Linked DNA regions of Notamacropus eugenii. The protein of the gene in region 1 interacts with the protein of each later gene in a biochemical or structural test. Links are inferred from orthologs where the notes say so. Each region holds a gene or a part of one and is shown in the gene's direction. Other genes may lie near its edges. The genes, in order: CD2 and CD58.

What was found.
Region 2: the proteins of CD2 (region 1) and CD58 form a complex in vitro, tested with the Homo sapiens proteins (3 studies listed by BioGRID and IntAct, with this or other methods). The link is inferred for Notamacropus eugenii from reciprocal best matches to the Homo sapiens genes CD2 and CD58.

The regions. Positions count from the first base shown.
Region 1 is NC_092873.1:296,541,327-296,557,081, forward strand, and holds the start of CD2 (T-cell surface antigen CD2), read left to right. Parts: upstream 1-9,823; 5' UTR 9,824-10,156; coding exon 10,157-10,217; intron 10,218-10,540; coding exon 10,541-10,846; intron 10,847-12,381; coding exon 12,382-12,636; intron 12,637-15,755. UniProt on the Homo sapiens protein: CD2 interacts with lymphocyte function-associated antigen CD58 (LFA-3) and CD48/BCM1 to mediate adhesion between T-cells and other cell types. CD2 is implicated in the triggering of T-cells, the cytoplasmic domain is implicated in the signaling function.
Region 2 is NC_092873.1:296,274,938-296,290,507, reverse strand, and holds the start of CD58 (lymphocyte function-associated antigen 3), read left to right. Parts: upstream 1-9,523; 5' UTR 9,524-9,783; intron 9,784-10,008; 5' UTR 10,009-10,072; coding exon 10,073-10,139; intron 10,140-15,570. UniProt on the Homo sapiens protein: Ligand of the T-lymphocyte CD2 glycoprotein.

The DNA.
Region 1 (15,755 bases):
TGAGACTTTGGCAGCTTCAGTTCATTGTCATTACTGTCCTCAATGACTGCGAAAGGCTCTGACCTAGGCTTCTGAATACTGCGATTATTGAATTCGGAGCAAATCTAATGTCGCAGACCTGCTCAGTGACTAGTCTCAACAATTCAGCAAATCCTCATGGAGCACAGAGGTCATCAGTGAACTAGGATCCAGTTGTTTTCAATAGAGAAGTAGGGAATGGAATCCATATTACAAAAGATGGAGGACTGGGAATAGTGAGAAAGTGGAGATAGTGAGAATAGATGATTTTTTCCTAATGGCTTGGCAGTAACAAGAGGAGAGAGAATCCCATTTTAAGACTGTGGAAGAATCAAAGGGAGGTTTTCATAAAACAGGGAGACTTGAAAGGATTTGTAAACTGAGGGGAAGGACTGGAGATGATGGTGGGAATGTCAAGTAAGCTAATTAGGTGTTGTAGGTGTATTGGGGTGGCAGAGGTGCCAGTGATCCTGGATGCTGAAATACATGGGAAAATTCAGGGACTGAGTTGCTTTCAAATACATGGTCTTTTCCTTTTAGGGGACCAGGTCCCATCATCCCATCAGAGAGAGGGAGATTGGAGATGCTTGGGAGTGGGGATAATTCAGTTCAACTTCGATTAAAATATGTATTAAGCACAGAATAGTATCAGAGAGGGGGAAGGTCTTAGAATAAGGAAGATTTTAATTTAAGTCTTGTCTCTGACACATACTGGCTATATGACTTGGAGCAACTCAACAAACTACTCCAGGACATAGGGGAGCAGAGGAGGGGAATTCTCATTGCAGGGCTGGTGCTGATCTCCACTGTATAAAATCAGAAGCCCAATAAAAAAGTCCTAGGAACTATGTATGCAAAGATAAAAATAAAACTGTCCCTGTCCTCAAGGAGCTTACTTTCTCTTTGGGGTTCTTGATCTGGGGTTTGTAAACTTTAAAAAATACAACTGAATTTCAATGTAGTTGGTTTCCTTTAATTTTATACTTTATGTATTTAAGAACATTATTTGGAGAAGGGGGCTAGAGATCTCACCAGGCTGCCAAAACAGTCCATGACACACACAAACAGTTCAGATTGTCTGTATTAGGGCAAAACAATATGTACACAGATAAGTTAATGCAAAATTTTATACAAGTAATTCCCAGGGAGGGGGAAGCATTAACAATTGGGGGAATAAGGAAATGTCTTTTGGAGGACTTGAACTAGGCCTTGGAGGAGTAAGGAGTACTAAAAGAACTGAATTTAGGAAGAAGAGCATTCCAGGAATGGGGTACAATCAATGCTGGTTACCAGGTTAGCTTTACCCTTCTCTCTCTCTCTCTCTCTCTCTCTCTCTCTCTCTCTCTCCCTCTTCCTCTTTGTCTCTGTCTCCCTCTCCCTCTCTGTCTCTTTCTCCCCCCTCAACACACACACCTTGCACTCATTTGATCCTCCCAACAACTTGAGGAAAGAATGAAGCGATCATTAATTAAGTACCTACTATATACTAAGCGTTGTGCAAAGCATTTTACAAATTAGCTCATGTGATCATCAAAACAACATTACTTTCCCCATTTTACAGTTGGGGAAACTGAGGGAGACAGAGGTTAAATGGCTTGGCCCAGGTCACACAACTAGTAAGTATTTGATGCTAGATTTGAACTCATTTCTGATTCCAGGTCCAGGACTCTATCCACTGAGCTACCAATTGTTTTTGAGTATTTCAGTCATATCTGACTCTTTGAAACCCATTTTGGGTTTTCTTGGCAGAGATATTGAGGCAGTTTGCCATTTCCTTTTCCAGCTCATTTTACAGATGAGGAAACTGAGGCAAACAGGGTTACATGAATTGCCCAAGCTGTAATATTAGAGTTAAAGATCTTCCCTGCCCATTAATATGCCTCACCTGAAGCCCATTAAGGGAAGATTTTTTTTTGTTAATTTCACTGAGGCACTGGGTCAGGAGGGTCATGATGCCCTCTGGCTCTGAAAAGTGTATATATACCCTGAGATGAGGTTTTGCTTTGGGGCTTACTCTTTGGAAGAAGGTTTGTGTGCCAGACTGAGACTCTGAGTAGGTATTAACACCCCACCTTAGAAAACCCAGATGATGGTACTTCTCCCTGGTAACTACATATGCCTGTAATGGTCAGACAATTGGATGTATCTGTTGATCTATAACGTATATATTGCTTATGGTCAGACACTTAGAAGCTCTATCCGTATTTCTCTACTTGTATTTTCTCTGTTGGTGAATGTGATTGTTGACCTCTCAAAAGTTGCTTTCCTTTTAGAAAAACAGATCTAAGAACCTGCACAGCAGGCCCTCCTGTGTATACCGGGGTTCTTGTTGCTACACAAAGTCACACAGATAGTAAATGTCTGAGGCAGGATTTGAAATGAGGGTTTCCTAACTCCAGACCCAGCACTCTATCCACTGAACCACCTAGCTGCCCTGCTGGGCTACCTACCTGTCTCTAGAGAGGAGAGATGAATGAATGATAAGGGTTCCACAAGGTTAAGAATTGGAGTGGAAATGACAGAAGGAGAAGGAGAAGGCAAGAGTGGAGGAGAAGTCATGATCAAAGTAAGTGATCAACGGGGTCAAGATTGATCAGGGAAGAAAGGAAGCTCAGAGGTTGATAGGGACAAAACAAGGGTGACAATTAGGGTAAAGAACAGGTATGCATGAATCCTGGCTATACTGTTCTGTTCTGTAGGACATACTATTTCCCTGCTCTGGGCCTTAGTTTCCTTATACATAAAATGAGAGGCTGGATTTAATCACCTCCAAAGGCCTTTTCCCACTTTAAGTCTATATTCCTGGGAGTCAGCCTGAGGTGTTAACCAGCTAGGGGAAAGAACCTGTGTTGATAAGATGATGGTGACTGAGCCCAGCAGAGGGAAACAGTGAGCCACGAGGTGATGCCTCTTCCTGGAGGGCTTATTGAAGAATTTTGTCTTTAGCTAACCTTGGCATCGGGGAAGTAATGGAGAGTCTGATAGAACTGAAACGTATAGGAATGGGGGAAGGGAAGGCTTTTTTCCCCCAGTGTGCCTAGGATGTCTCAGTGCTATAACCCAAATGGACATTATGCACTTAATAGTACATTCCTCCTTGTTCTCCATCTGATCTGATGTGAACTGGACACTTATAGGGTCGGAGATCTGAGATTAGAAGGGGACTCAGATGTCATGAAGTGCAACCCCCTCACTGTGCAGATAAGGAAATGGAGGCCCAGGGAGGTGAAGTGACTTGCCCCTAGGTCACACAGGTAGAAAGCTTCAGAGGCAGAGTTTGAACCTAGACCTTCTAACTTCAGTATTCTTTGCATTATACCATACATAAGTAAAAAGCAACTTAATTTTTAGTTTTGTATTTTGAGGAAGAAATTGCATTCAACTTTTTAAAAAAGTCAATGTTATGAATATCTTTCTTTTTATTTCTATCACCCAGAAACCTATCCCATATAACAAACTAGTTTTAAAAGTAAAGAAGTAAAAACAATAAGGAATCTGATCAATATATTTAAAAAATTGGAAAATATATGCAATGTTCCATACCTGGAGATCTACCACCTCTGCAAAGGAGTTGGAGGAGCTGTCTTCTCTTATTTGTCCTTTGTTGCCATGTTTGTACTTTGTCATTTTGGGATGGTTATTTTCAATTGTGTTTTATTGTTTTTCCCTCCATTGACATCGCTGTATTTGTATGCTCAGCAACAGTTCTTGTAAGTCTTTCTATGCCTCTCTATATTCATCCTATTAGTCATTTCTTATGCCACAGAATGAATCAATAAACATTTATTAAGCAGCTACTATGTGTCAGGCACCGAACTAAGTCTTGGGGAGACAAAAAGAGCCAAAAGGCAGACCCTGCCCTCAAGGAGCTTGCAATCTAATTAGGGAAGACAACATACAAATATATACAAAGCAAACTATATGCAGGATAAATAGGAAATAATTACAGAGGGAAAGCCCTGGAATTAAGAAGGTTTGAAGAAGGCTTCATGTAGAAGGCAGGATTTTAGTTGGGACTTAAAGGTGTATTTCATTACATAAACATTCCATTATATTCATGTACCACAACTTTTTTTTTTAACCATTCTCCAATCAGTGGACATCTACTTTGTGTCCCGGTTTTTGCCCACCATGAAACTTAATGCTACAAATATTTTGGTATATGTGGAGACTTTCTTTTAATCAATGACCTCCTTGATATTTATGCCTAGTAGTAGAAAACTTTGTGTCAAAGGGCATGAATGTTTTAGTGACTTTATTTGCATAATTCCAAATTATGTTCCAAAATGGTTATACTTATTCAAAGATCTACCAACAATGCATAAGTGCAGTGGAAATTGAAATAGAAACTAAGGGCTACTCATCCATTTAAAAGGATTGTGTGTGTGTGCGTGTGCATATTGACTTAGCTTTAAAATGTTATCTATATTTTATTGTATTTTATTTATTTTGTTAAAAATTTCCCAATTATATTTTAATCTTGTTGGGGATGCTTTGAAGTATTGAGGGCTTCTGTGGTCATAGGGCTTATCTGACACTTCTGTGTCAAGTATACCTATTTTTCACAACCCCTCCCACATTGATTAATTCCATCTTTGGTTGTTTTTGCCGCCTTTCTAGGTGTAAGGTAAAACCTTAAAGTTGTATGATTTGCATTTCTCTTATAATTACGGATTTAGAACACTTTTTCACGTAGTTGTTAATAGTTTACAATTTGTCTTTTGAGAAATGTTTGTTCTTATTCTTTGAACCTTATGTCTCAGGGAACTTGATCACTTTTAAAAATTAAGTGTAGTGAATTTAAAATTTAAATACATAAATAAATATCTAAATTGCCCTTCAAGAGCAGTATGATATATACTAGAAGGAACACTGGACTTTGAGTTGGAAGTCACATTTGGAGCCAGCCAACAATTATTAGCTGAGTCTCTAGGGTCAAATTACATTCCTTTTTGAATTTTAGATGCCACATCTGAAGAATGAGGATAATAATAGCATCTCTGTATGTAGTAAAGTGTTACATAGAGAGAAGATATTAATTTCATATAACAAATAATTTAAAAATATTACAATTATTTATGTACACAGCGCCTGGCACATAGTAAGTGCTTAATAAGGGCTTGTTGAATAGAACAAGTACTTTTAAAAGCACAATAAATATGCAAAATATTAACACCAAAATATTAACACCATTAAAATGTTTAAAAATATGCTTCAGTTCTATTTTATGGTTAATTAAGAGGGACAGGGGAGAAAAGTAAAGAAGGGTACATAATAGGACTGGCAATGATAGAAAAAGAGAAAAATGTAGGAGCAACGTAGAGAGAGTTACAGAGGTACATAATTTAATTCAATTCAACAAAAATTTGGCTACCTATATTATACAAGGTCTTTTGGGGGGATTTGTTGTTCAGTCGTGTCCATCTCTTTGTGACTCCATTTGGGGTTTTCTTGGCAGAGATACTGGAGTGGTTTGCCATTTCCTTCTCCAGTTCATTTTATAGATGAGGAATCTGAAGCAAACAGGGTTAAGTGATTTGCTGAGGATCACACAGCTGTGCTCACTTAGCCTGGTGTCTAAGGCCTTGATTCCTATTCCAATCTTCTTTCCACTGAGAAGAGCAGTATATGAAGACTTTTAGGGGCTGAATCCTTGCACTTACTCTGATTCAAGCCTTGGTTGCTCACTAACACTTCTCTAGCCAATCTGTTGCCAAGTCTTGTTTCTTTTTTCATAACTTCTCTCGCATCCATTCCTCCTCCCATTCACTCACCATCACCCTAGCCATCATTCCTTCTCACCCGACCTGTCTCAATGGCCTTCCATCTGTTTGCCTCAAGCTTCTCCATTTGGATCTGTCCTCCAAAGAACTGCCAAAAGCTTCTCTTTAAGAGCAGTTCAGATTGTGTTATTCCTTTGTTCTATAAACTTCAGTAGTTCCCTGTTACTTCAAAGATCAAAAATAAATTCCTCTATTTGACATTTCAATATGTTTATAACCTGACCCTTCTTACATTCTTGGTCTTTTCCTGCCATACTCTTCTTGGACTTGGTCCAGGCATGGTGGCTTACTCACCATTCCAAGAATTGACATTCAGTTTCCTGTTACTGTGCCTTCTCTTTATTGTATTTCTCTGTTGTTTTTCTCTATATTTCAGGTCCCTGGGGTCTGAAATACACTGTCCAATCACCTCTGGTTCTTATAACCCATGATTTCCTTCAAGACTCATCTCAAGCATTACTTTCCATAGGAAACCTTTCCTCATCCTTCCAATGGCTAGCGTACTTTCCCCAAAATAGCTTGTATTCATTTTGTATCATGTTGTTGTTGTTTAGTCATTTCAATTGTATCTGACTCTTTTGTGACCCTATTTGGGGTTTTCTTGGCCAAGATCCTAGAGGGGTTTGCCATTTCCTTCTTCAGCAAATTTTGCAGATGAGGAAACTGAAGCAAACGAGGTTAAGTGACTTGCCCAGGATCATACAGCTGGTGTGTCTGGATTTGAACTCAGTTCTTCCTGACTTCAGGCCTTGTACTCTATCCACTGTGCTGCCTAGCTGTCCCCCAGGAGTGTGTGTGTATGTTTGTGTGCATGTGTGTGAATACACATATGTATATATGTAAATATATGTGTGTACATACATAAATTATATGCATCCCTACCCACCTATGAACATGAATATTAAGTGTGTAATAAAGATGTGTATTAAAAAAAAAAGATGTGTATTGATTGACCCTGGTTGGCCTTCCTAAATTTCCCCCTAAATGTCTTCCTTTCTCAAAGGTACCAAAGAAAAGACGATCTGGAGGCCACTGAATGGGTCAGCAGCAGCAAGAGTATGTCTGCCCATGTTAGGATTCTTATTTTGATATCTCCTAGCCTTCTTACACAGAGATGAAGATGTTTCAAATGTTAAGTAGGGCAGAAGCTTTTTCTTTTTAGTTGAGAAGATCAGGTGAACTAAATCACAGAATTATTAAATCTTAGACTGGAAAGGAACCTTGATGATTAAGTCCATCCCCTATTTTACAAGAGAAGGAAATTGAGCTAAAGAGAGGAAAAGGATCACTGGATCATAAATTTTGAGATGGAAGAGACCTCAGAAGCCATGTGGTCAAAACTGTTCATTTTAAATATGAGTATGACAAAGGCTAAGGTAGGTTACGTGGTTTGCCCAAGGTCTCACAGAGGAGATTTGAAGCCAGGTCCTCTAAAATGTTCAAGTTGACCCAGCCGGGGCAGTTCCTGCTACACCATCTGCGATCAACCCTGAGTTTTGCTTCTATTTTCATTTTTTCTCCCGTTAAAAGAGATGTTCTATGGGTATCAGTTCCCTTATAACTACAAAACACATTTTGAAATTTCAAAAGAATGAACTCTCCCCAATGGACTGATGATTCACGGTGCTTTAGAACAGGGCAGTTTGTTTGGACAATGCATGGACTCAAGGGCAACTCACCCTTGAAGCTCACTCACCTGGGCTGGATTTGATCTAGGTTCCCATTCTTCCACTTGCCCTTTTAGAACTTTCTGACTTAATCCTTGCTTTACCTAAGATAGGATAGGTTGAAGGAACTAGGACTGTTTAACTTGGAGAAGAGAAGGTTCAGTGGGGAACATGAATGCTAAGTATTTTCAGGTCTGTTAAGTGGAGGAGAGATCCAATTTGTTCTTTGGACAGGACCAGGAGAAATGGGTGGAAGTCATAAAGTAGCACATTTAGGTCTGATGTCAGGGAAGACCTCCTGAGAGAACTATCCAAAAGGAGAATGTACTGCCAGAAAGGGTGACTGCAGGAGTCTCTGTCATTAATGGTTTTCAAGGGCTGGATGGCACTTTGGGGGATTTTTATAGGAGAGTTTCTTTTGGGGGCCTGAGTCAGACTAAATGGTCACTGAGGACTACTCCAACTTTAAAATTCTGCGATTCTGTCAATTCTGGGTCCTTTCAATTGTTCACATAGCCAATGGTGCCATCAAAACACATTCCCACTTTACATCCCAGTGGATGTGAGGAGCACCATGTTTCATACTCAAGAGACAGTCCATAAATAATGGGGTAAATCAAAATGAAAATTTGGGGTCTAGCTTGTTATTTTAGTGGGGTAGATTTCTTGATGTTTGATTGCTTTCCAGGTAGATTAATTTCCTCCCTCCCCTATATTTTTTTTTGCCTTTAGTAAATGTAACATTTTACCAACCTTCCCCTTCCTCTGTTATCCGCTGGAGTTCAGTGGTCATACACAGACCTTGGCTTGAAGTTCCAAGTTTCTGCATCTCCAGATGCCAAGGCATTCCAGGTTCAGTGCTGCTTTTGGAATCAGAGGATTTGGGTTCAAATAATGACTTTGCTTCTTCGTACCTGTGTGGGTGACCTTGGATGAGTCCCCTCACCCCCTGGACCTCACCTCCCTTTTCTTTCCTTTTGAAAGGAGGGTATTGTATTAGGTGACCTTAAGCTCCCTTGCAACATTAAATCCATAATCCTTTGATCTTCTCTCTTTCTTTTTTTTTTTGACAGCAACAAAAAGAATCTTGACCTAATTCCTCCAAAAGCCCCATGATGCTCTCTGTCAGCACTGACCTTTCTTCCCTTGGACATCACATAACTTTTGCACCTCTCTTAGGAATTATCATTTATTATTTTGCATTATAGTTATTTGCATATGTGTCATATTTCTCCTACTTGAGTGTAATTATTCCATCTATACTGTGCAACTGTCCCCTCTGCTTAGCTCAGTACTCAGGATACAGGCCTAAATGTTTGCCAAATTGAAATGAAAGAAAGAATGCTGTAGGAACTAACCTGTAGGGGTTCTTAACCTGAGACCATTGTATTTGCTTTTTAAAATATTTTAATAACTGTATTTTCCTATATTCTTAGTAATTCTGTGTATTTTATTTTGTATATTTAAAAACATGACTGAAAAGAAGTCCATAGGCTTCCCAAGATTGTCAGCGGAATTCATGGCACAAAAAAGGTTAAGAACTTATGGTCTAAACCTTCGGTCAAAGGCTAGAATACAAACCCTTCCAGACACACTGGGTTGGGGTAGTGTGAGAGGGCAGGATGAGGAAGTGAGGAAGATGGTGTGGGAACAGTATATTGTAGTGGATAGAATATAGGAGCTGTAATTTGGAAGTGCTGAGTTCAAATCCCATCTCTGGCACTTCCATGAAGCAAGTCACTTAAACTCATTGACATTCAATCTCTTAATCTAGAAAATGGGGATAATAGCACCTGCTGCCCCCACCTCAGAAATGTTGCTGAACCTTATGCTGAGGAGTCCATAGGCTTTATCACACTACCAAAGAAGTCCATGGCCCAAAAAAAGTTTAAGAATCGCTTCTCTAAATACATATTTTAAGATAAGGTAACATTGCAAAGTACTTATGTGAAAAAATAAAGAATGACAAATAATTGGAGGGATTAATATAGTGCTTATGGGTGTGACAAATAACAAGAAAAAAAAGATATTGCCCAAGTTTAAAAAAATCTTACTGTATGGATCAAACAAAATCATGTGTAGAAAGCACTCTGCGAACTCTCCATGAATATTGGTTAGACCATTCACAAAAGCAAGAGGAGATCATTCCTCTATTATCAAAGGGTTTACGACTGGGCACTATTTATAGGTAAGAAGCCACAAAAACAAGAAAGTCTCTGGTGGGCGCCAGTAATGTAATTTCTAGCACTCAAGTAGTCTTAAAACAGATCAGATCTTGTGAGATCACAGTGCCCACTTTAGCTCCATTTCCTGCTTGTCTGTGTGAAAAAGGGGGAAGAAGCCGTAAAGGGGAGCAGGAGGGTAGAATGAACTTTGGAAGACCTTGAATACTCTAACTCCTCCCCATAATTCTGCTGTTTCCCTTCACTGAACATTTGAAGACAGTTTATGCTTAGAGAACTCTTTTTCTGTCCTTGTGCCTACAGCAAGCTTGGCATCCTTCCCCTGATCTCCACCCTTCCCATCCCCCTATCTCCACCCAGCCAAATTAGAATACTGTACCTTTAGTAGTTTGAACTCTTAAATACAAATGTAGGAGAAACAGAAAGACAAGCGGTTCTGCTGGAGAATTGCCACTTCTCACTTTGATGAATTTTGGGTAACCCAAGTTGGAGATACCTTCCAAAGATGAACTTCCAAAGTCACGTTTTAGTCATCTACCTGCTTCTTTTGTTCTTTTCCCCAAAAGGTAAGTGAACTGTTTGGGTCTCTGTTGGTTCCTCCATCTTCCTGAGATATTTAGAGAAGCTGCTTTTAAAAAAACCAAACTTCTGAGTGTAGAAATCTAAGGGGATTTGAAACAGTTTCTCTTCCTTGTGGGACTATCCCCTTGTACATTCTCTTGTCTTCTTTTTCCTTTTAAGAGCACTGGATTAGAAGTCAGGTAAGACCTACAGTGTAGACCCAGCTCAACCGCTTGTTCTTTAGCTCTGGGACCTTGGGGGGGACCCAATCTCTTCAATGGTTTCCTGATATCTGATGATTCTACAATGTCCTTGCTTTCTTTAACAGATGTCATGGCAGAAAACAATGATGTTTGGGGTGTACTAAATCAGTCCATCCTTTTGAACATCCCTGATCTCCCGAAGGACCAAGATAAACATGATATACGGTGGTATGAAGGATCGACTCTGATTGCAAAAGGAAATGTAAATATTCCCAAGGCTAACCATGAAAGTCACAACTATGAGATATTCCCAAATGGAACCTTGAAAATTAAAAAACTGCAGAAAACCTCTGAGCAAAACTACAAGGTGTCAGTGTATGATAAAAATGGCAGAAATGTGTTGGAGAAAGAATTGACTCTGCATGTGATAGGTGAGTATTCCTTTTCTCTGTCTCCTTCATTGGTGGTTGCCCATCAGGCAATCAACATTTCTATGGTCTTTTCCTGGCTAGGGATTTTAATAAAGGACTGGTTAGTGGAGAAACAAATGGGAAGCTGATAAGGTTTTGACTATGGATGGATGCTCCAGCTGAAATTTCATGTCATGTACTTCATGAGGAAGGTGTCTTCTGATGACCTGATTCCCCATGTGATCTCCCCCCACCCCAATTCTTGCCTCGTTCTGTTGTTTTTCCCATGTCCTCAGTAACCTAATCCCAGGCTTCTACATGAGGCAACTTGTTAGCTGCAGGAGGAAGATGACATGAAATGAAAAATGAATGGAATTCCCTAAATATGCCCAGACTTTATGATTTCATCGGCATAGGAAAGTGCTAGTGTGATGTACCCTGTGCCAATGAAGATTATGCACTCATCTACATTTAATCAAAATTGCTATAAGTGTCTTGTCCAGGGTTGCAAACTAAATATGAATCAGAGGCAAGCTTTTTTTTTGGTGAAGGGGAGGCAATTGGGGTTAAGTGACTTGCCAAAGGGTGACACAACCAGTAAGTGTCTGAGGCTAGTTTGAACTCAGGTCCTCATGACTCCAGATCTGGTCTCTATCCACTGCACCACCTAGCTCACCCAGATGTCAGACCTGAACACTAGTCTTCTCAACTCCAAAGCCAACCCTCTCAGTTATGATACAATATCTTCCCAAGGTCAAATAATCTCAATTAAAAGACCTTATAGTTCACTTAGCTTGATACCTTACCTGTGATATAGATTCCTTCTGTAACCTCACTAACATATGGTTATTGAACCACTTCTTACACACTACCAGGCATGGAAAATTCATTATTTCATGAAGCATCCTGTTGTATTTTCTTTCTAGGACTTCTTGCCCACCCTTTCCCTCCCCCTTCTCCTTAATAGTACAAGGTAACTTCTTTTTTTACATTTCCATTCTCAAAGCACCTTTGTCTTCCCCAGTAATCATAGGAAGCAATCTTAATTTCGAGCTAAGTAAAAATCTTACTGTAGGTATACATTCACATTCTAGTCACCTTCTCTACCTTTTATGCCTTGGGAAATACTTATTCCTAAATGGTCCCACTAGACTAGTAAGTTCTGTGAGGGAAAGACTGGTTTAACTAAATCTTTCATGTCCCACAGCACCTAGCCCAGTGTTCTCAAATTAAATTCAGCAAACCTTTATTAAACACACATTATGTACAAGGTACAGTGCTTGGCCAGGAGGCTATAAAGATAAAAACAAGTGATCCCTGTTCTCATGGAGTTTATATTCTATTGCAATGCAGTAGGCATTAAAATGTTTGTTGAATGTAATGGAACTACAGTGGCCTGTCACCCATAAGATTTTCACACCTGACCAGGGCCTGAGAGGCATATTCCCAATCCCTACTTTGCTTTGAGTCCATGTGGGCTACACAAACTAGAACCAATTTTCCATTCAGGGATGTTCTCAAAGTAAATGGAGTTTTATTTTTTTTTCTTTTCAAAGAGGCTGTTTCAAAGCCAGAAATGACATGGAACTGCACAGAGGGAAGTATAATTTGTGAGGTTCATAATGGGACTAATGCTGAGCTGATCTTGTTTGATAATGGGACACAGCCTCTAAAGATGGGGAACTTGAATAAAGAGGGCATGAGGCTCAAGTACACCTGGCCAAAGAACGACCCACTACCAAGGGAATTCAAATGTGTGCTGAAAAACCAAGCCAGTGAGGAGTGGATTGTGGACCAAACTCCCTGTACAGGTGTGTAGTTGGCAGCGGGTATGAATTAACCATGTTCATAACAACCATAATAACTGACATTTATATAGTTATAAATGTATATATATATATATATATGTATGCTTTTAAATGAGTAAAAACAATTTCTGTACTTTATCTGACTTGAGCCTTATAACAATTCTGTGAGAAAGATACTAGAGATATTATTATCTCCGTATTATGGATGAAGAAGTAGAGACTTAGAGGCTGAGTAAATGTCAGAGGCAGGTTTTGAACCTAGGCCTTCCTGACTTTGAGGCCAGACTACAGCACAAAGACTTATCTTTCTTTCTATGGTATTCTATCCACTCTGCTAGGCCAACTTGGTATTTTTTCCCCTTTAGTCTAAACCTGTATCTCCTGATGAGGAAGCTTTATGTAGATCAACAGCTATTCTGTAGTTCACAGTCTTTTTTTAAAATTCAATTTTATTTTATTTTCACTTCTCTAGATCTTCCTCCCTCACTAACTGAGGAAGCAAGAAAAACACAACCATAAATGTGTATAGTGAAGTAAAACAAATTCCTTCAATAACCATATCCACCCAAAAAAGTAAAGAAAAGAAGAGAAAAAATAAAAATATACTTTAATCTTCATTGTGAATCCACCAACTATCTATCTGTACAAAATATTTCATCATGAGTTCCTTGGACTTGTGGTTGACTCCACTGGGTTGATCAGAGTTCCTAAGTGTTTTGAAGTTGTTTGATTTTACAATAGTGTATTACCTGTAATCTTTTTATATTTAATTTTTATGTCTTATTTTATTTTTTCTCAGATGTAACAATTTTAATATTTGTTTTTTTTTAAAAATTTGAATTCCAAATTTTCTCCCTTCCTCTCTCCCCTCACCTTTTGAGAACGCAAGCAATTTCATATAGATCATACATGTGAAGTCATGCAAAGCAAATTTCCATATTAGCTGTATTGTGAAAGACACAGACAAAAAAAAAAACAAGAAAAAATAAAGTAAACAAAGTGTGCTTTGTTTTCATTCAGACTCCATCAGTTCTTTCTCTGGAGGTAGAAAGGATTTTTCATTGTAAGCCCTTTGGAATTGTTGGATAATTGAATTGCTGAGAACAGAGATGTCATTTGCAATTGATCATTGTACAATATTGCTGTTACTGTATATGATGTTCTCTCGGTTCTGCTCATTTCATTTTATACCAGTCCTTAGATGTCTTCTCAAGTTTTCTGAAACCCTTCTGCTCACCATTTCTTATAGTACGATAATATTCCATCATAATGATATATCACAACTTATTCAGGCATTTCCCAATTGATGGGTATCCCTTCAATATCTAATTCTTTGCCACCAAAAAAAGAGCTGCTATAAATGTTTTTATATGTATAGGTCCTTTTCCTTTTTCTTTGATCTCTTTGAAATACAGACTGAATAGTGGTATTGCTGAGTCAAAGGGTATGTACATTTTTTGTAGCCCTTTGGGCATAGTTCCAAATTGCTCTCTAGTTGGATTAGTTCACAACTCCACCAAGAGCCTCAATTTTTCCATGTCCCCTCTAACATTTGTTATTTTCCTTTTCTGTCATATTAACCAAACTGATAAGTGTTAGGTGGTATATCAGATCTTTTAAAATTACCATTTCTCTAATCAGCAGCAATTTAGAACTATAAGTAGCTTTGATTTCCTCTTTTGAAAACTGCTTGTTTATATCCTTTGATTACTTATCAATTGGGGAATGATTTGTGTTCTTCTAACGTTAACTTAGTTTTCTATGTATTTGAGAAATCAGAGAACCTTGCCGTAAATTTTTCCTGCTTTCTTTTTAATCTTGGTTGCATGGGTTTTGTTTGCGCAAAATCTTTCAATGTAATCTAAAATATTCATTTTAGCTTCTGTGTTGCTCTCTATCTCTTATTTGGTCACAAATTCTTCCCTTATCCATATATGTGACAGGTAAAATTTTCCATGCTTCCCTAATTTGCTTATGATATCACCCCGTATGTCTAAATCATGTACCCATTTTGACCTTATCTTGGTATGCTGTGAAAACTATTGGTCATATCTAGTTTCTCTTAAACCGATTTCCAGTTTTCCCAGCAATTTTTATAAAATAATGAATTTTTGTCTCAAAAGTTTGGATCTTTGGCTTTATCAAACACCAGATTACTATGCTCATATACTACTGTTCATTGTATACCTAATCACTTGCATTAATTCACTACTCTGTTTCTTAATCAGTCCTAGATTTTTAATGATTACTCCTTTCTAATTCAGTTTGAGATCTGGTACTGCTAGACCAAATTCCTTCATATTTTTTTCATTGATTTTCTTGATATTCTTGACCTTTTGTTCTTCCAGATGAATTTTGTTATTATTTTTTTCTAGCTGTATGAAAAATTTTTTGTAGTTTAGTATGGCACTGAATAAGTAAATTAATGTAGGTACAACTGTCATTTTTATAATGTTGGCTTGGCCTAACCATGAGCAATTAATATTTCTCCAGTTGTTTAGATCTGACTTTATTTGTTCAAAAAGTGTTTTGTAATTGTGCTCATATAGTTCTGGGGTTTTTCTTGGCAAGTAGACTCCCGAGTATTTTATATTGTCTGCAGTTATTTTAAGTGGAATTTCTCCTTCTATCTCTTCCTGATGAGTTTGTTGATAATATATAGAAATGTTGATGATTTATATGGGTTTAATTATATCCTTCAACTTTGCTAAAGTTGTTAATTACTTCAACTAGTTTTTTAATTGATTCTCTAGGATTCTCCAAGTATACCATCTTACCATCTGCAAAGAATGATAGTTTTTTCCTTGCCAATTTCTTTTTTCTTCTCTTATTGCTATAGCTAATATTTCTAGTACAATATTTAATAATAGTGGCAAAAATGGGCATCCTTGCTTCACCCCTGATCTTATTGGGAAGGTTTCCAGTTTATTTCCACTATAAATATTGCTTGCTAATAGTTTTAGGTAGATTCTACTTGTCATTTTAAGGAAAGCTCCATTTTTTCATGCTTTTTGATGTTTTTGATAGAATGAGTGTTGTATTTTGTCAATGGCTTTTTTCTGTATCTATTGATGTAATGAGATTATTTTTATTGTTTTTGTTATTGATATGGTCAGTGTTGA
Region 2 (15,570 bases), about 270 kb from region 1:
TTCCCCTCCACTAAAAAGTCTTTTGCTTGCCTCTTTTATGAGAGATAATTTGCCCCATTCCATTTTTCCCTTTTTCCTCCCAATATATTTCTCTTTCACCACTTAATTTCATTTTTTAAAGATATGATCCCATCCTATTCCATTCACTCTGTGCTGTGTGTGTGTGTGTGTGTGTGTGTGTGTGTGTGTGTGTGTGTGTGTGTGTGTAATCCCACCAACTACCCAGATACTGAAAAGTTTCAAGAGTTACAAATATTGTCTTTCCATGTAGGAATGTAAACAGTTCAACTTTAGTAAGTCCCTTATGACTTCTCTTTGCTGTTTATCTTTTCATGCTTCTCTTCATTCTTGTGTTTGAAAGTCAAATTTTCTTTTCAGCTCTGGTCTTTTCATCAAGAATGCTTGAAAGTCCTCCATTTCATTGAAAGACCATTTTTTCCCCTGAAGTATTATACTCAGTTTTGCTGGATAGGTGATTCTTGGTTTTAGTCCTAGTTCCTTTGACTTCTGGAACAGCATATTCCACTCCCTTCGATCCCTTAATGTAGAAGCTGCTAGATCTTGTGTTATCCTGATTGTATTTCCACAATATTTGAATTGTTTTCTTTCTAACTGCTTGCAATATTTTCTCCTTGACCAGGGAACTCTGGAATTTGGCCACAATATTCCTAGGAGTTTCTCTTTTTGGATCTCTTTCAGGCGGTGATCTGTGGATTCCTTGAATACTTTTTTTGCCCTCTGGTTCTAGAATCTCAGGGCAGTTTTCCTTGATAATTTCATGAAAGATGATATCTAGGCTTTTTTTTTTTTTTATCATGACTTTCAGGTAGGCCCATAATTTTTAAATTGTCTCTCCTGGATCTATTTTCCAGGTCAGTTGTTTTTCCAATGAGATATTTCACATTATCTTCCATTTTTTCATTCTTTTGGTTTTGTTTTGTGATTTCTTGTTTTCTCATAAAGTCATTAGCCTCCATCTGTTCCATTCTAATTTTGAAAGAACTATTTTCTTCAGTGAGCTTTTGAACCTCCTTTTCCATTTGGCTAATTCTGCTTTTGAAAGCATTCTTCTCCTCATTGGTTTTTTGAACCTCTTTTGCCAGTTGAGTTAGCCTATTTTTCATGGTGTTATTTTCTTCAGCATTTTTTTGGGTCTCCTTTAGCAAGGTGTTGACCTGCTTTTCATGCTTTTCTTGCATATCTCTCATTTCTCTTCCCAGTTTTTCCTCCACCTCTCTAACTTGATTGTCAAAATCCTTTTTGAGCTCTTCCATGGCCTGAGCCCACTGAATATTTATTTTGGATGTTTAGGATACAGAAGTCTTGATTTTTATGTCCTTCCCTGATGGTAAGCCTTGTTCTTCCACATTCGAAAGGATGGGAGGAGATATCTGTTCACCAAGAAAGTAACCTTCTATGGTCTTATTTTTTTCCCCTTTTCTTGGCATTTTCCCAGCCAGTTACTTGACCTCTGAGTTTCCTCTCCACACCCACCTTGCCTCCAGTTCCGCCCAGCTAGTGCTTGGGGGCTGAGATTCAAATGCTGCTCCCCAGCCTCAGGGCTTTTGGCGGAGGCGGGCTGCTATTCAGTGTGAGATTAAGTTCAGCTGCTCAGGTGGGGGCAGGGCCGCCACACAGGGCTCAGTTCCCTCAGGGGGTTTATGTGGAGACCTTCAACAATGAATCCAGGCTCCTGCCTGCTTTGGGAGCCCCTGTGTGCTGCGGCCTCCCGAGGGGGCCTCAGTTATAGGGACACTCTGCTCCCTTCTTGGCGAGCTGAAAAGACCGTCTCACTGACCTGTGGTGCCTGTGGGTGGAGGGACCTGCTCGGCCACTGGAGATTCTGTCCCTGAAGCCTGCTCAGATCTGCTCCCCTTGGTGCCGCTCGGCCAAGGCAGGGCTGGGCTCTGCTCCAGCTCCGGTGCATGACAGACCTTTGGTGTTGGTCCTTCAGGTCTCTCTGGAACAGAAATCTCCTCCACTCTGTTGTTGTGTGGCTTCCGCTACTCCAGAATTTGTTGGGAGTTCTTCTTTACAGGTATTTTATGGGCTCTGGGTTAGGAGCTAGCATATGTGTATCTTTCTACTCCGCCATCTTGGCTCCCCGTCCCCCCCCCCCCCCCATATTAAACTCATGAAGTTAGATCTTTAAACCCAAATGTAGAGTTTGGCATTTTTCCTTACTGAATCTCACTTCATTAGATTCCGCCTTTTGAGGACTTTGTAGATCATAATTCTGGTCAAAGTCAATGATCTATGACTTCTAGAATCTTCCTTCTCCTCTTTCTTTTTTCCCCTTAATTGGCACATTTGCCCCTTCCTGGCCCTGAAGTATCTCTCCTTCTACACGCAGTCTTTAAAATGATCACCAAAGGAGGCTTGGCACTCAGTAACCTGGGATGCAGTTCATTCAGGCCTGGTGCTAGAATTCATTGAGGAGTAGCAATTTGTCTTCTATTTCAACTTCCTGCTTACTGTTTTTCCATGAATGGATGGATGAAAGAATGAAAAAGCATTTTTTAAGCACCTATTGCATACCAGACACTGTGCTAAGTGCTGGGAATACAAATATTAGAAAAGAGACAGCCCTTGTCCTCAAGGATTATATACATACATGCATACATACATACATACACATATATTTTTAAATTTATTTTATTTATTTATTTTTAGTTTTCAACATTTCAGCATTCACTTCCATAAGATTTTGAGTTCCAAATTTTCTCCCCATCTCTCCCCTTCCCCCACCCCAAGATGGCATGTAAATTGATATAGGCTCCATGTATATTCATATTAAACCTCTTTTCACATTGGGGCACCTAGGTGATGCAGTGGATAGAGCACCAGTGCAGGAGTCAGGAGGACCTGAGTTCAAATCTCACCTCAGAAACTTGACAGTCACTAGCTGTGTGACCTTGGGCAAGTCACTTAACCCCAATTACCTCATCCTGGGTCATCTCCAGTCATCCTGATGAATATCTGGTCACTGGATTTAGATGGCTCTGGAAGAGAAGTGAGGCTGGTGACCTGCACAGCCCTCCCTCCCTCAAAACAAAGTCAAGTGCAAGTCATGTCATCATTTCTTCTTCAGCAACGAAGGATAAACACACACATTTTCACATTAGTCATGTTGTACAGAAGAGTTAGAATCAATGAGAGAAACCATGAGAAAGAAGAGACAAAAAAAGAGATCAAATAGTCTGCTTCCATCTGCATTCAGATTCCGTAGTTCTCTCTCTGGATGTAGACAGCATTTTCCACCATGACTCTTCTGGAGTTATCTTAGATCCTTGTATTGTCAAGAAGAAAGAAGTCCATCAAAGTTAGGCGTCATACAATGTGACTGTTACCGTGGACAATGTTCTCTTGGTTCTGCTCATTTCTCTCAACATCAGAAACTTCTATTTTAAAAAGAGAAAATAACACATTATAGGGGAGTCCTGACCAGGGATGATGCTTTGTTCTGGGGAAGAAAAAGGGAGTAAGTGAAGGTACAGTGACAGTGAAATGACCTGGTTGAATGGCTGGATGGGAGGCTGATGTCTAAGATTAGCCTGTAGATACAGTGGACAAAAGTGGGCCTTCAGAGGGGAACTCCTAAGATGAAAGGATTAACTTTCCTCAGACCTGGGGTTGGATGACTCCAAGTTGGAGGTCTAGGTTTCAGGTACCCTGTTGATAGTCGTGATCTAGGTGAGGAGGGTCAATTCAGCAGCAACAGGCAGATGATGAGATGGGCAAACTGACTGGCATGGAAAAGAATGGAGCCATGGTAGTTAAAAGATCATGATGGAGGATGACTAGGTAGCACCGTGGATAGAGCACTGGCCCTGGAGTCAGGAGGACCTGAGTTCAAAATCTGGCCTCAGACATTTACTAGGTGTGTGAGCCTGGGCAAGTCACTTAAACCTCTTTGCCAAAAAACAAAAAAAAAAAATCAAAAAACCCATGGTGGAGAAAATAGAAACTGAGTGGTTCTACCTTCCCAGCTTTGCATTTCCATTGTCCATTTTATAACCCTGACAGTCACACTATTTGGGGCAGAGTGCTTGAGCTAGTCTGTACCAGCTGATTGCTCAGTTTTTCATATGCGCATACCTTCAAATCAGGGCCTGGCTTATTTGGTGATTGTCTAGACCAGGGCTAGCCAACCTTCAACCTCAAGGTCACCTGTGGCCTTCTAGGTGGTCAAGTGTGGGCTTTTGACTGAGTTCAAGTTTTACAGAACAAATCCTTTTATTAAGGGGATCTGGAATCCCCTTAATAAGTTTGGAATCAGTCAAAGGGCCACACTTGACCACCTAGAAGGCCACAGGTGATCTTGAGGCCCTAGGTTTCCCTACCTCTGGTCCAAATTTATGAAAGTGAAAGAGAAAATGCTACTATTGCAGGTCATATGTAAATATGTGTCCTGCTCACCTTTTTTTTTTTTTCCTGGAGAGTCGGTTAAATACTCTTCAGGACTCCCTTGGCCTCATCCCTTCTGTGATCTTTCTTCTTTCAATGTCATCAAAGAAGTAGAACACTAGGCCATAGCTAGCCTTCCTTCATTCTGATCTTTTATGTTCTGCCTTTACTGAATGATGACACCCGCTTGGATCATCCTTTGCTACCTATCCCTGAATCCCCAGTTATCTGCTTCCATATTTGTCTTTGTAAAATTGATATGTATCCTTTGTTTTGTTTGCTTGTTTTTCACAAAGGCCAGGCACAGCCAGGCCAGATTCTTCATCTCTCAGACCTCCCTGCCTTAATTCACTCTTCCTTCCAGCCTCGAAGGATAGGTTCTCCTAATCAAGGACCCATCATCTCCCAGCTGTTCCCTCTCTTAATTTTCAGTCCTTCTCTCTCTGCTGGTTCCTTTCCTTCTGCTGACAATATAAGAACTTAATTTGGTTTTTTTTAGACTCCTAAAACCTTCCTTTGACTGTGACCTTATCAAGATACCATAGTCACTGTCTCTTTCTTCTCAATGCCCTCCTCTCATTCCCCTGCATTATGCAATTCTGTTCTCATCACTCTACTTAAACTGCTCACCAATGATTTCTTGACTGACACACTGAATAGCCTTTTCCCAGGGGAGTCCCCCTTGACCTTTCTGTTGACCATCCTTTCACTGATCACCTTTTCTCCCTCTCTGTGACACTTTAATCTAACTCTCTTACCACTCTATTTTTGCTGTCCCATCCTGACCCTGCTGCCCTCTAAATATAGGTACTTCTAAGGCTCTGTCTTCAACCATCTCTCTCTGTCTCTCTCTGTATCTCTCTGTCTCTGTCTCTCTGTCTTTCTCTTTGTCTCTCTGTGTCTGTCTGTCTCTCTCCCTCCCTTTTTAATCTCTCTGCTCTCCCTCACTGGCCTTACCCATTCCATTTATTTCAATAGGCCCCTTGATGTAATTCACTCCTGATCAATGTCTCTGGTACTGGTGCCTCCCTCAGCTCTGCTTCTGACTGCTCAGTATCATTTACATTTATCCATCGTTCCTTCAGAATTCATGTCAGGTACCACTTTCTCTATGATTGGAGGAAGGATTACCCCCTTTTAATATTCCTTCCCCTCAAAAAAGTGACATCTCTCTCCCTCAGATATTCCAAAATTTTTTATTCATTTTGAACTTAAATTCAAAGGCAAAAAAAAAAAACATTTCCATGTACACAGTACAACATAAGGAGAGGATTCAATACAAAAGCATGAATTTCCATTTCACAGCTGGCTTCTTTTAAACTACGTAATTAAAAACCACCCATCATTTTCAAAGCTGCTCTACTTCTCTGTGCAAACGTCTACGTTTCCTTTTGTTCTTTACTGTGCACTTTTACATTTTTTTCCCTCCGTCCCTATCCCACCCTAGAGAAGGTTACCATTAGACACAAATATGACCATCTGTGTGTAAAACCATGCCATACGTCCTTGGGTTTAACAGTTCTTTCTCTAGATGTGGATAGCCTCTTCCTTCACAGGTCCTTCAGAGTTGATATGAATATTTATCATACTCAAAATGACTTAGTCATTTCAGCTATTTTTAAAAATATGTAGAGTATTGCCTTTCTCATTCATCTGCTTATTCCCCAAGCTGTTATTAAGTATCTACTATGTGCCAAGTACTTGAGATATAAAGACAGAAACAACCAGAAACCTGTAACCTCCTCTGCCTGAAGGAGCTTGTGCAGGCGAGCATGCACATAGACATGTATAAGGGAATACAAAGTATGTAGAAAGTAAGTAAGATAATTTGGAGGGGAGGAGGTGATCAGAAAGACCCTGTGTAGAAGACAACATTTGATCTTGGCCAAAACTGAGATTGGGTATCCTAAGAGTCTGAGGAGGAAAGGGAGAGATTTTCCAAGCTTGGTGAAGCAAGCCAGCCAGCCTGTTAATAGGAATGGAATTTAGGTCAGTTTTTCTAGAAACCAAAGGGTGGGGAGGAGAGGTGTGATATTGGTCTAGAAATATGGGTTGGGCTTTCATGTGACAGAGGAGCATCCTAAAGGCAAAAAATGAGGCATGGAAACTTCTGAAGGAGAGCAATGAATCAGACCTTTAGGTGTTTTAGGAAAATCAATTTGGCAGCTGTGTGGAGGATAAATTGGAAATGAAAAAGACCAGAAGCAAGCAGATCAGTTAGGAGGTTATTGCAATATTCAGTCCAGAGATGGAGAAGGGTTAATCTAAGGGAGGTGGCCCTGTGAGTGGAGAAAACACAAGAGAGTGAGATATGGAGGAGGAATAAGCAAAACTTGACAACTGATTATCTGTGGGGGATGAGGGAGAATGAAGAGTTAAGGATGATGGACCATTGTGAACCTGGAGCACGGTTAGTAGGGTGGGACATGGAAAATGATCCCCCAGAGGAGACTAGGAAGGCAGGTAGGAGAACAGATAGATGATGTGTCATGGAAATTCAGGGAAGGAAAGGGGAGTCACCTGTCAAAGGTCAAAGGTCGCCTACTTGAGCAATTAAGATATTCTAATAAAGGTGTTTCAGTCAAGTGATCAACTCAGAAGCTAGGTTAGAATAGGATGAGAAACTGAATGAGACGAAAGGAAGGGGAGGTTGCTTGTTTTTTCTAGTAGTTTGGCTATAAAAAGGGAGGAGACATAAGATGACAATTTGAATGGATAAAGACTCAAGTGAAGGTTTTTTAGTGATAAAGTCAAGCATTTAAATGTAAGCTAAATTCTAGGGATACAAAGAAAGGCAAAACAAAAACAAATAACATCCTCCCCCATCCCAATAACCAGTCCCTGTTCTCGAGGAGCTGAGGAAACCACGGTATGACCAACTATGTGCAGGACTGGGATATGTCTAGCCAGCAGAAGAACCCCATATTAGGAAAAGATTTTGGATTAAAGAGGAAGGGGCAATGACCAAAGGGAAAAGCTGTTGGAGAAAGAGACAGGATGATATGGGATCATGGGCACAGGTACAGGGGTTGGACTTGGTATTGTTGGTGAGAAGGATCTCCCTTTTTTCAGGGACTCACAAAAGTGAGGAGAGAATGGGAGATGATGTCGAGGTGTTCTGGGACATATGAGCCAAGGTCATCTGCTGAGAGGGAGTTGGAGAAGGAGGAGGAGGAAGCTTGAGGACAGAAGGTTTGGAAAAGCCTCTGTCGAATTGTTGTTTGTCTTTCATTCTCTGAGAGCACCAATGACATCAGGAGGGTAATGTCTGGACTTGCAAGTGAATTGGATTTAAGTGAGGCAGATCTGTGCAAAGTCATTAACCTCTCTCCTTCAGAATCATCAGGGTCCAATGGCAAGGCATAGGTCAGGATGACTGGTCATGACCCCCTGGGATAAAGAGTAAATTAGAAGAGTAAAAGGATTACAGTATAGTTAAGAGGACCTAACTGAGATGAGCTAACAAATATGTCTTGGACCTAGTCAGAATGGTTGTCAAAGCTCTTCCAGGAACTTCAGCAGTGTAAGAGTAGGAGAAAAGGAAGACTAGGTAACTCTGGGTTCAGGTTTAAAGATCTGAGAGTTGACAGTGAGTTAATTGGTTAATTATATGATTAAGATTGAGAAGGGAGGAAAATGAAGCCACAACAAGAGTGACAGCCAGAGGGAGGAAAAACTAGAGTTCAGAATGGGTAGCACTTAGAGACATGGATGGATGGGTAATAGTCAGGCCTGAATTACAGAGTATCCACCAGATTGTCCACCAGATTCTGGGTAGAGCTGACGTCACAGTCTTCACAAATCATGGGATTTGATTGAGAAGGCTGGTGAACTGGGAGACCAGGTTGTTTAAGGGGGCATCAACCTGTATATTGAAGTTCCCAAGAATGAGAAGTTGTTGGAGTGGAGAGAAAGGCTGTGATTCAGCTAGGTAACTCCCTGAGAAAGGGGAAAGAATGACTTTGGGATGATCGATTTGAAGTAGGAAGGGCTTTAGAGGTTGAGCCCCGCCTCCTCATTTTACAAAAAAGGGAAGTGGAGTTCAGAGAAAAGTTCAAGAATTCACCCAAAGTCACCTAGCTAGTGGACAGGTCTTCCTGCCTTCAACACGCCATACCCTTTACTCCTCTGCCCTTCAAAACCTTTGAACCAAGTACTGCCATGGGGGATTATTCATTTCCTCCCAGAACCTCCATTTTAAGGAAGGGCCCACAGACCAGTCATGTTAACTCCTTTCTTCCTCTCTGGGCCCCATCCCTTATTCTCTGAACATCTTTGTTCATCATACCCTTGACCAGGCACTGTCTTCTGACATCCCTTACATTGCATTTGACTTTCCAGTTCTTTGCTTGACACTTAGGAAATGCTTCCTGATTTGACTGAGTTTGAGCCTCCAAGCAGAGGTTGTTGAATGAGGCAGAAGGAGCTAGAAATGTTTATAAACATCTGATGCAGGGCTGTTATTGAGGTGTGCCTGGTGTCAAGAGAAGGTACATACAGACCTGGATAGGACAGCCAAGGATCGGCTGGATTGGGGGGTGGGAGGGAGGAACAGAGGGAAAGCCAGATGATTAATTTCAAAAGACAAGAGAGAGAAGACAAGAATGGAGGGGAGGCTGTTCAGTGGAATGTTGTCCCAGTGGGCACAATGGGAGGGGAAGGAAAAGGGGGATGGGGACTTGTCAAGGGCACGTCCCATGTTGATAACCATGGGTCAGCCGTAGGGATCCTGCGTGGCCAGAATTAGGTGTAGTGAGAGTTTGCTAGTCATAGGATAGGCATTCAGGACATTTTGATGGGGGACCCTCAAGGGCTCTGAGATGGCAGAGGATGCGTTAAAGGTAAGTAAAGAACTAGTTAGAGAAGTGAGATGAGATTCTGAATCCCACGCTTGAGAATTCGAAAAGCTGCAGGGGCTAAGCAGCGTGGAATTTCAAGGAACAGACTGTAGTAAAGTAGTACAGGCAGTGCTTGCTTTTCCTTACGATTGATAGCAATCCCTAAAGTAAAAGCGGCTTCTCTCTAGGTTCCTCCCGCCCCCCTTCTACACCTCCCTCCCCAATTGTAATAAAGAAACACTGGCTGAATCATATCAGCTGTTCTCAGGACAAGTCTTACCTCATCAAGCCACGCCCACTTTTCAGTTCGGCCTTCCTCCCGGCTCTCCGGGCTTCGGAGGCAGATCCTGCGGGTTCCCAGAACCTGTTAGTCTCTGATCTGACAAGTACCGCACCCAAACTGAGAAACAGTTTTTGCCAAAGGCGCGTTCTGAAAACGAGTTGCGTGGCTACCGAAACAACGAGAGACAGACCTATTTTTAATCATACACCCAAACGGGGGCAAATCGAAAGGGACCAATCGAACTTTCTCCGCTCCGTAAGTTTTACTAAGGGGAGTTGCGGGGAGTGGGGAGAAGGGAGAGGGGGCCGAGGAGGGAAGGGAAATAAATAAAAGGGGTGGGGGAACCCCGCACTTAAAGAACAAGATCTTGGAGCTATGTGGGTTGGGGTGAAAGAGGAAGGAAGGGGAAAGGAGTGTATTGGGACTGGCCCTTTTAAAGTGGAGAAAGTGGGGAGTTAATTTCTTTTGGCTCCTTTTCAGACCCTCCAGCTACCTCTACCAGAGAGTGCATCTCACCTTTTTCTCGTTCGAGATCTGTGGCTCTATGGCGATAGAATTTTGTGTGAGGAACATCCTATTGGAATTTGCAGTGCTACTGGCCATCTTTTTCGGTAAGTCTGGCCTTGCTCTCCGGCCACGGCCCAGAGATAGATAGCGTTAGATCACGAAATTGGGAATTCCTATCCACCAGCGCCCTGCACTGCACCAAACTCGGGCTGGGGAGTGGGATGGTTCTTGGGAGTCGGAAGGCATCCCTCCCAGATAAACAGCCGGGTTAACAGTAGGGGAAGTTGTTCGTAAGTAGGGACGCCGCAAGCATGCTGCTGGACAAGGATCTCCTGCTGAAAGATCCAGAGCCGAATTTGGATCAATCCTAAGAAAAATACCAAATTTGTGGTTTGCTCTCAGAGTCCTCTCGATGCCTCCCTGTCTGTTCCCCACCCTTTCTGCCTCTCTGGCCTCTCAGTTTCCGACAAAAACAAAGTCAACAAAATCTCCTCCCCCTTTTTCTTTCCTCCCTGTCTCCACAATAAAGTAAGGAAACTGTGGAGAGAAGTTTCTGGGCACTTGACCTTGATCAAAGCGCAGAAGATGCACTTTGGGGGACAGGGCCAGCATGTCCACAGCCACCCAGATGATAAAACCTTGCCAAAAACTGAGTTCTTATGCTCTCTCCCACCCCCCACCCTCGCCCCCAACTTTCACCACTCTTTTCTTTTCAAAACTGGGTAGCGCTTTCAGATAGCTTTAATGAATCTTTCATTTCTGACCCAGGTCAGGAGCAGCCTACACCCCATTGTCAAATGAAATTGCCACTTTGTAGGATAAGACAGGGAAAACCAAGAGACAAGGTGGCTTGTAAACCTCCAAGATTTCTTGGGTGAGCTTAACTTTCTTCCTCCTCCTATCTATTTTTTCCTTTGATTTCCTAGTTGGGGAACTCACAGTCTGCCTCATATTGTTTGATGACTGCTTGTTTCAATGCAGTAATCACTTACCTTTCCATTTTTCCACCTTCCAATTCATCCTTACCAGAGATGTCAGCCGGATCTTCCTAAAATATGTTATTCTCCAGCTAGAAAATCTTCCATGGCTCTCCATAGCCAACAGAAAAAAAATAGCATATATGTTAGGCACTGTGCCAATCACTTTACATTATTATCTCCTTTGATTCTCCCAATAATCCTGGAAAGTAGGTGCTATTATTATTCCCGTTTAACAGATGAGGAAACTGAGTCAAATAGTGACTTGCTGGGTCACACAACTAGTAGGTGTCTGAGGCTGGATCTGAACTCAGGATTTTGAAACTCATGCTTCTTATAGTGAAGAGCCCATCTTAGACATTATCTTTGCCATAGCAACTAGCACTTTGCTTTTTATGGAACAAATCTTAGGAGCCTAGGATTTTCAGGGTAAAGGGGGGTTTTAGATTTGCTGAAGGGTCCTACAGCTAGTAAATGTCTGAGGCCATATTTGAACTCGGATCTTCTTTGTCTCCAGGCTTTGGTGCTCTATCCACTGCACCACCTACTCCCCTGGGGTGGAGAAACAGGAAAAAAACAGCTCAAAGTAGATTTCTAAAACATAGAAAGTTCTTTATGTTAATTTAACATTTACCTCCCAGTAGCCCAAGAGTCCTAAGTGTATTCTTTGGAATAGAGCACAAAAGTGTCCTCTTTCCATGAAAACCTTTGGGGTATTTGAAGACAGATCCCTTACCCGTTGTCTTTTCCAAGTGAAACATGCCAAAGGAAACGCATCTTTTCATCATTTCTTGTGCGATAGGGTTTGGTCTTCATTCTAGTTGTCATTTCTGACATGGTCTCATTGTCTTTTTTATATGTAACTCCAAAATAGAACTTAGTTTTCCAGATGTGGGCTGACTAACCCTCAGTACAATGGGATAATTATTTATTGGAATCAGAACATTACACATCTATTCATCTGGTTTTTAAAAAAATATTGGAATCTTTTTTTAAAGCAACTTCACCATGTTCCCACTGAGTTTATGATCTTTCTTTTTTTGAGGCAATCAGGTTAAAGTAACTTGTGGAAGGTCACATGGCTAATAAGTATGTGAGGTCTGATTTGAACTGGGGTCCTCCTGACTCCGTGGCAGTTGCTCTGTCCACTGTACCACCTAGCTGCCCCCCAGTTTGTGACCTTTTAAAATTCTCAGTACACACACACACACACACACATGCACACACGCACACATACATAGAGACAGAGTGCACAGAGTGAATTGAAGAGGATGGGATCATATACTAAAAAAAAAAAAATGAAATCAAGCAGTGAGAGAGAAATATTGGGAGGAGAAAGGGAGAAGTTATATGGGGCAAATTATCTCTCATAAAAGAGGCAAGCAAAAGACTTATTAGTGGTGGGATAAAGAGGGGAGGCAAGAGAAAAACATGAGATCTACTCTCATCACATTCCACTAAAGGAAAGAATATAATGCACACTCATTCTGATAGGAAAACCTATCTCATAATACAGGAGAGTGGGGGACAGGGGCACAAGCAGGAAGGGGGGGAGGATAGAGGGGAGGGTATGGGGAGGAGAATGCAATACGAGGTCGACACTCACGGGGAGGGAAAGGACCATAAGAAAATAGAAGTAATGGGGGACAGGACAGGATGGAGGAAAATACAGTTAGTCTTATACAACACAATTAGTATGGAAATCATTTGCAAAACTAAACAGATATGGCCTATATTGAACTGCCTGTCTTCCAAGGGGAAGGGGTAGAGAGGGAGGGAGCTAAAGAAGTTGGAACTCAAAGTGTTAGGACCAAATGTAATGTCCTTACCACTGGGTAACAAGAAACACAGGTTAAGGGGTCAAGAAAGCTATCTGGCCCTACAAGACAAAAGAGAAGACGGAGACAAGGGCAGGGAGGGAGGATAGAGGAGAGAGCAGATAGGTCACAGGGGCAATTAGAAAACTTGGGTCTGGGGGGGGGAGGGGGAAAAAAGGGGAGAAAATTTGTAACCCAAAATTAAAAGTTTAATAAAAAAAAAAAAAAGGAAAAAAAAATAAAATTCTCAGATCCTTTTCAGATGAACTTTTCTTAAACCATATGTTTCTCATCTTGTAGAGTTTTTAAAAATTCATTAAACTGCAGGCATTTTTATTTCTCTATATTAAATTTCATCCTGTCCACCTGTTGAAATAAGGCAGCACAAATAATGGATAAAATGCTCAACTTGAAATCAGGAACATCTAGGTTTGGGTTCTGCCCCTGGATACTTACTAACTAGCTGTGTAACCTTGTGCAAATCACTAAGTCTCTCTGTTTCTCAGTTTCCTCATCTGTAAAATGGGGAAGTTGAACTTGATAACCTTTCTAAGGTTCCTTCCAGCTTTAAATCTAATAAATCCTGACTGTTATCCAGTCTGCCATCCCTACCTCCCACCTCTGGGTCCTTGGCAAAAGCCTTATCAAGATATCAACCAACAAGCATTTATTAATCACCTACTATGGCCGTATCTTCATCTAAGCCATTGATAGTAAGTATTGAACAGGAATAGGCATGTGGAGTGTTGAAGTATTCATCAAGATATTCCCTTCATGGTCCATTTTCTTTCCATTAAGCCACATTCTTCAGGCTGGTATTTTTCCATTAGCTATGAATCCTACTAACTACTATTACTGGACCTACTTTTTTTGTGTCTCCACCCATATCATGAGTGTCAGGTGCCTTACCGAGAGCAACCTGGAATGTGATGTTTTCCCGAAAAAGGTACTCGGAAAGTTAGAGATTTTGATGAATATTTTAAGTACATTTGTAAGGCACCTAGGTTCTCTTGTAAGGTTTAAGGCTTCGTTTGTTTGTTTTTGAAAAACTGATTTAAGGATGTCTGTCTTATTCCTCTGGGATGGTTTTTTTTTTTGTAAATTTTCTCGTGATTTTTCTGCTTTTTTGAACAGTAAAATAAAGGTAAAAACGACTTACTCTGGAGACTTAAATTGTTTCGCAAGACATCTGTTGTTGCTCTGTCTTTTTTAGTCATATGTGACTCTTTGTGACCCCATTTGGGCTTTTTTGGCAAAGATTCTGGAATGGTTTGTCATTTCCTTCTCCGGCTTATTTGACAGATGAGGAAACTGAGGCAAACAAGCATAAATGACTTGCCTAAGGCCACATAGCTAGGAAATGTCTGAGACCAGATGTGAACTCAGGAAGATGAATCTTCCTGACTCCAGGTCTGACGTTGTATCCACTAAGCCATCCAGCTGCTCCTATATTCTTTACTAGAATAATGGTTTTAAATGCATAAAATTAAACATACAACATTACAAAGGAAACTATTTATATTTTTTTAAGTTATCAAAATATTTTTAAAAACCAAGTTCATGGATCTCTTCTAAATCTAAATGGATGTTGTCCATCAAAATGATCTCCAGAGAACAAAAACGTTACTGGAAACTTCTCTTTTGTAATCATCCTCAGACCCAGTTTTGACCAGTTTTTCAGGAAGAAATGTTAATAAATTCAGAGAAATCTGATCATGGCCCTCCATCCATACTTTTGCCCCCCTACTTCTTCTAGGTCTCGTTTGAGAATTTTGAGAATTGAGAAACCTCCCTGGAGGGATTGTAGGCTGAAACTCAACCAGGGGAAGGTTGAGAGAGATAGCTTTGACATGTCGCAGCCAGAGTAGGGCTGGCCTGATGATTGTGTGCTGCCTTTTGGATTTGCAAGTTATAGGAGGAATTCATGATAGGTGCTATCACCCTCTGCCTATATACTCTGCTGAGTCATTTCCCTCATCAGTTTAATTCATCATTCATTTATTTATTTATCTGTGTACTATTACCTAGTCCTCACAGACTTGTACTAGTACTTGACACATAGGGGAGTTGGGAATAAGAATTTATTAAGCACTTACTATGAGCCAGGAACTATTGCTAAGCTCTTTACAAATATTTCACTTGATTCTCACAACAACTGGAGCATCTAGGTGCTCTTATTATCCCATTTTACAGTTGAGGAAACTGAGGCAGTCAGCGGTTAAGTGACTTGCCCAGGGTTGCACAGGGAACATCTGAAGTCTAGATTTGAGTCTTCCTGACTCCTGGCCTAGCCTCTATCTCCTTTGACACCTACCTCCCTTATCTAGTAAACCCTCAGGGATAGTTAATAAGGGCTTAAGAAATGTTTGCTGACTAACCTAACTAGAGGGCATTTAATGGAGAATCATCAAAACAAAATGCACCTTGATTGTAAATGAAAAAATCACTCTCTGGGACTACAGAAAAACCTGAATGCTGTGTGATTGTAATTACCTGGCTGGATCCCAGAGGAAAAAAGGGGAAAATGGGCCTTTTTCTCAGCTTTGCAGAGGTAAGGGGCTCTGGGAGTAGAATATTGCATGTGTCTCAGACTCAGTTGATCAGTTGGTAAGTTTTGTTGAACTGTTCTTCCTCCTCCATCTCCCCCTCCCCCCATAAAATTCTATGTAATAGGAAATGGTTCTGTGAATATGAAAGTGGTTTTGTTGTTCAGTTATTTCTGTCATGCCCAACTCTTCATA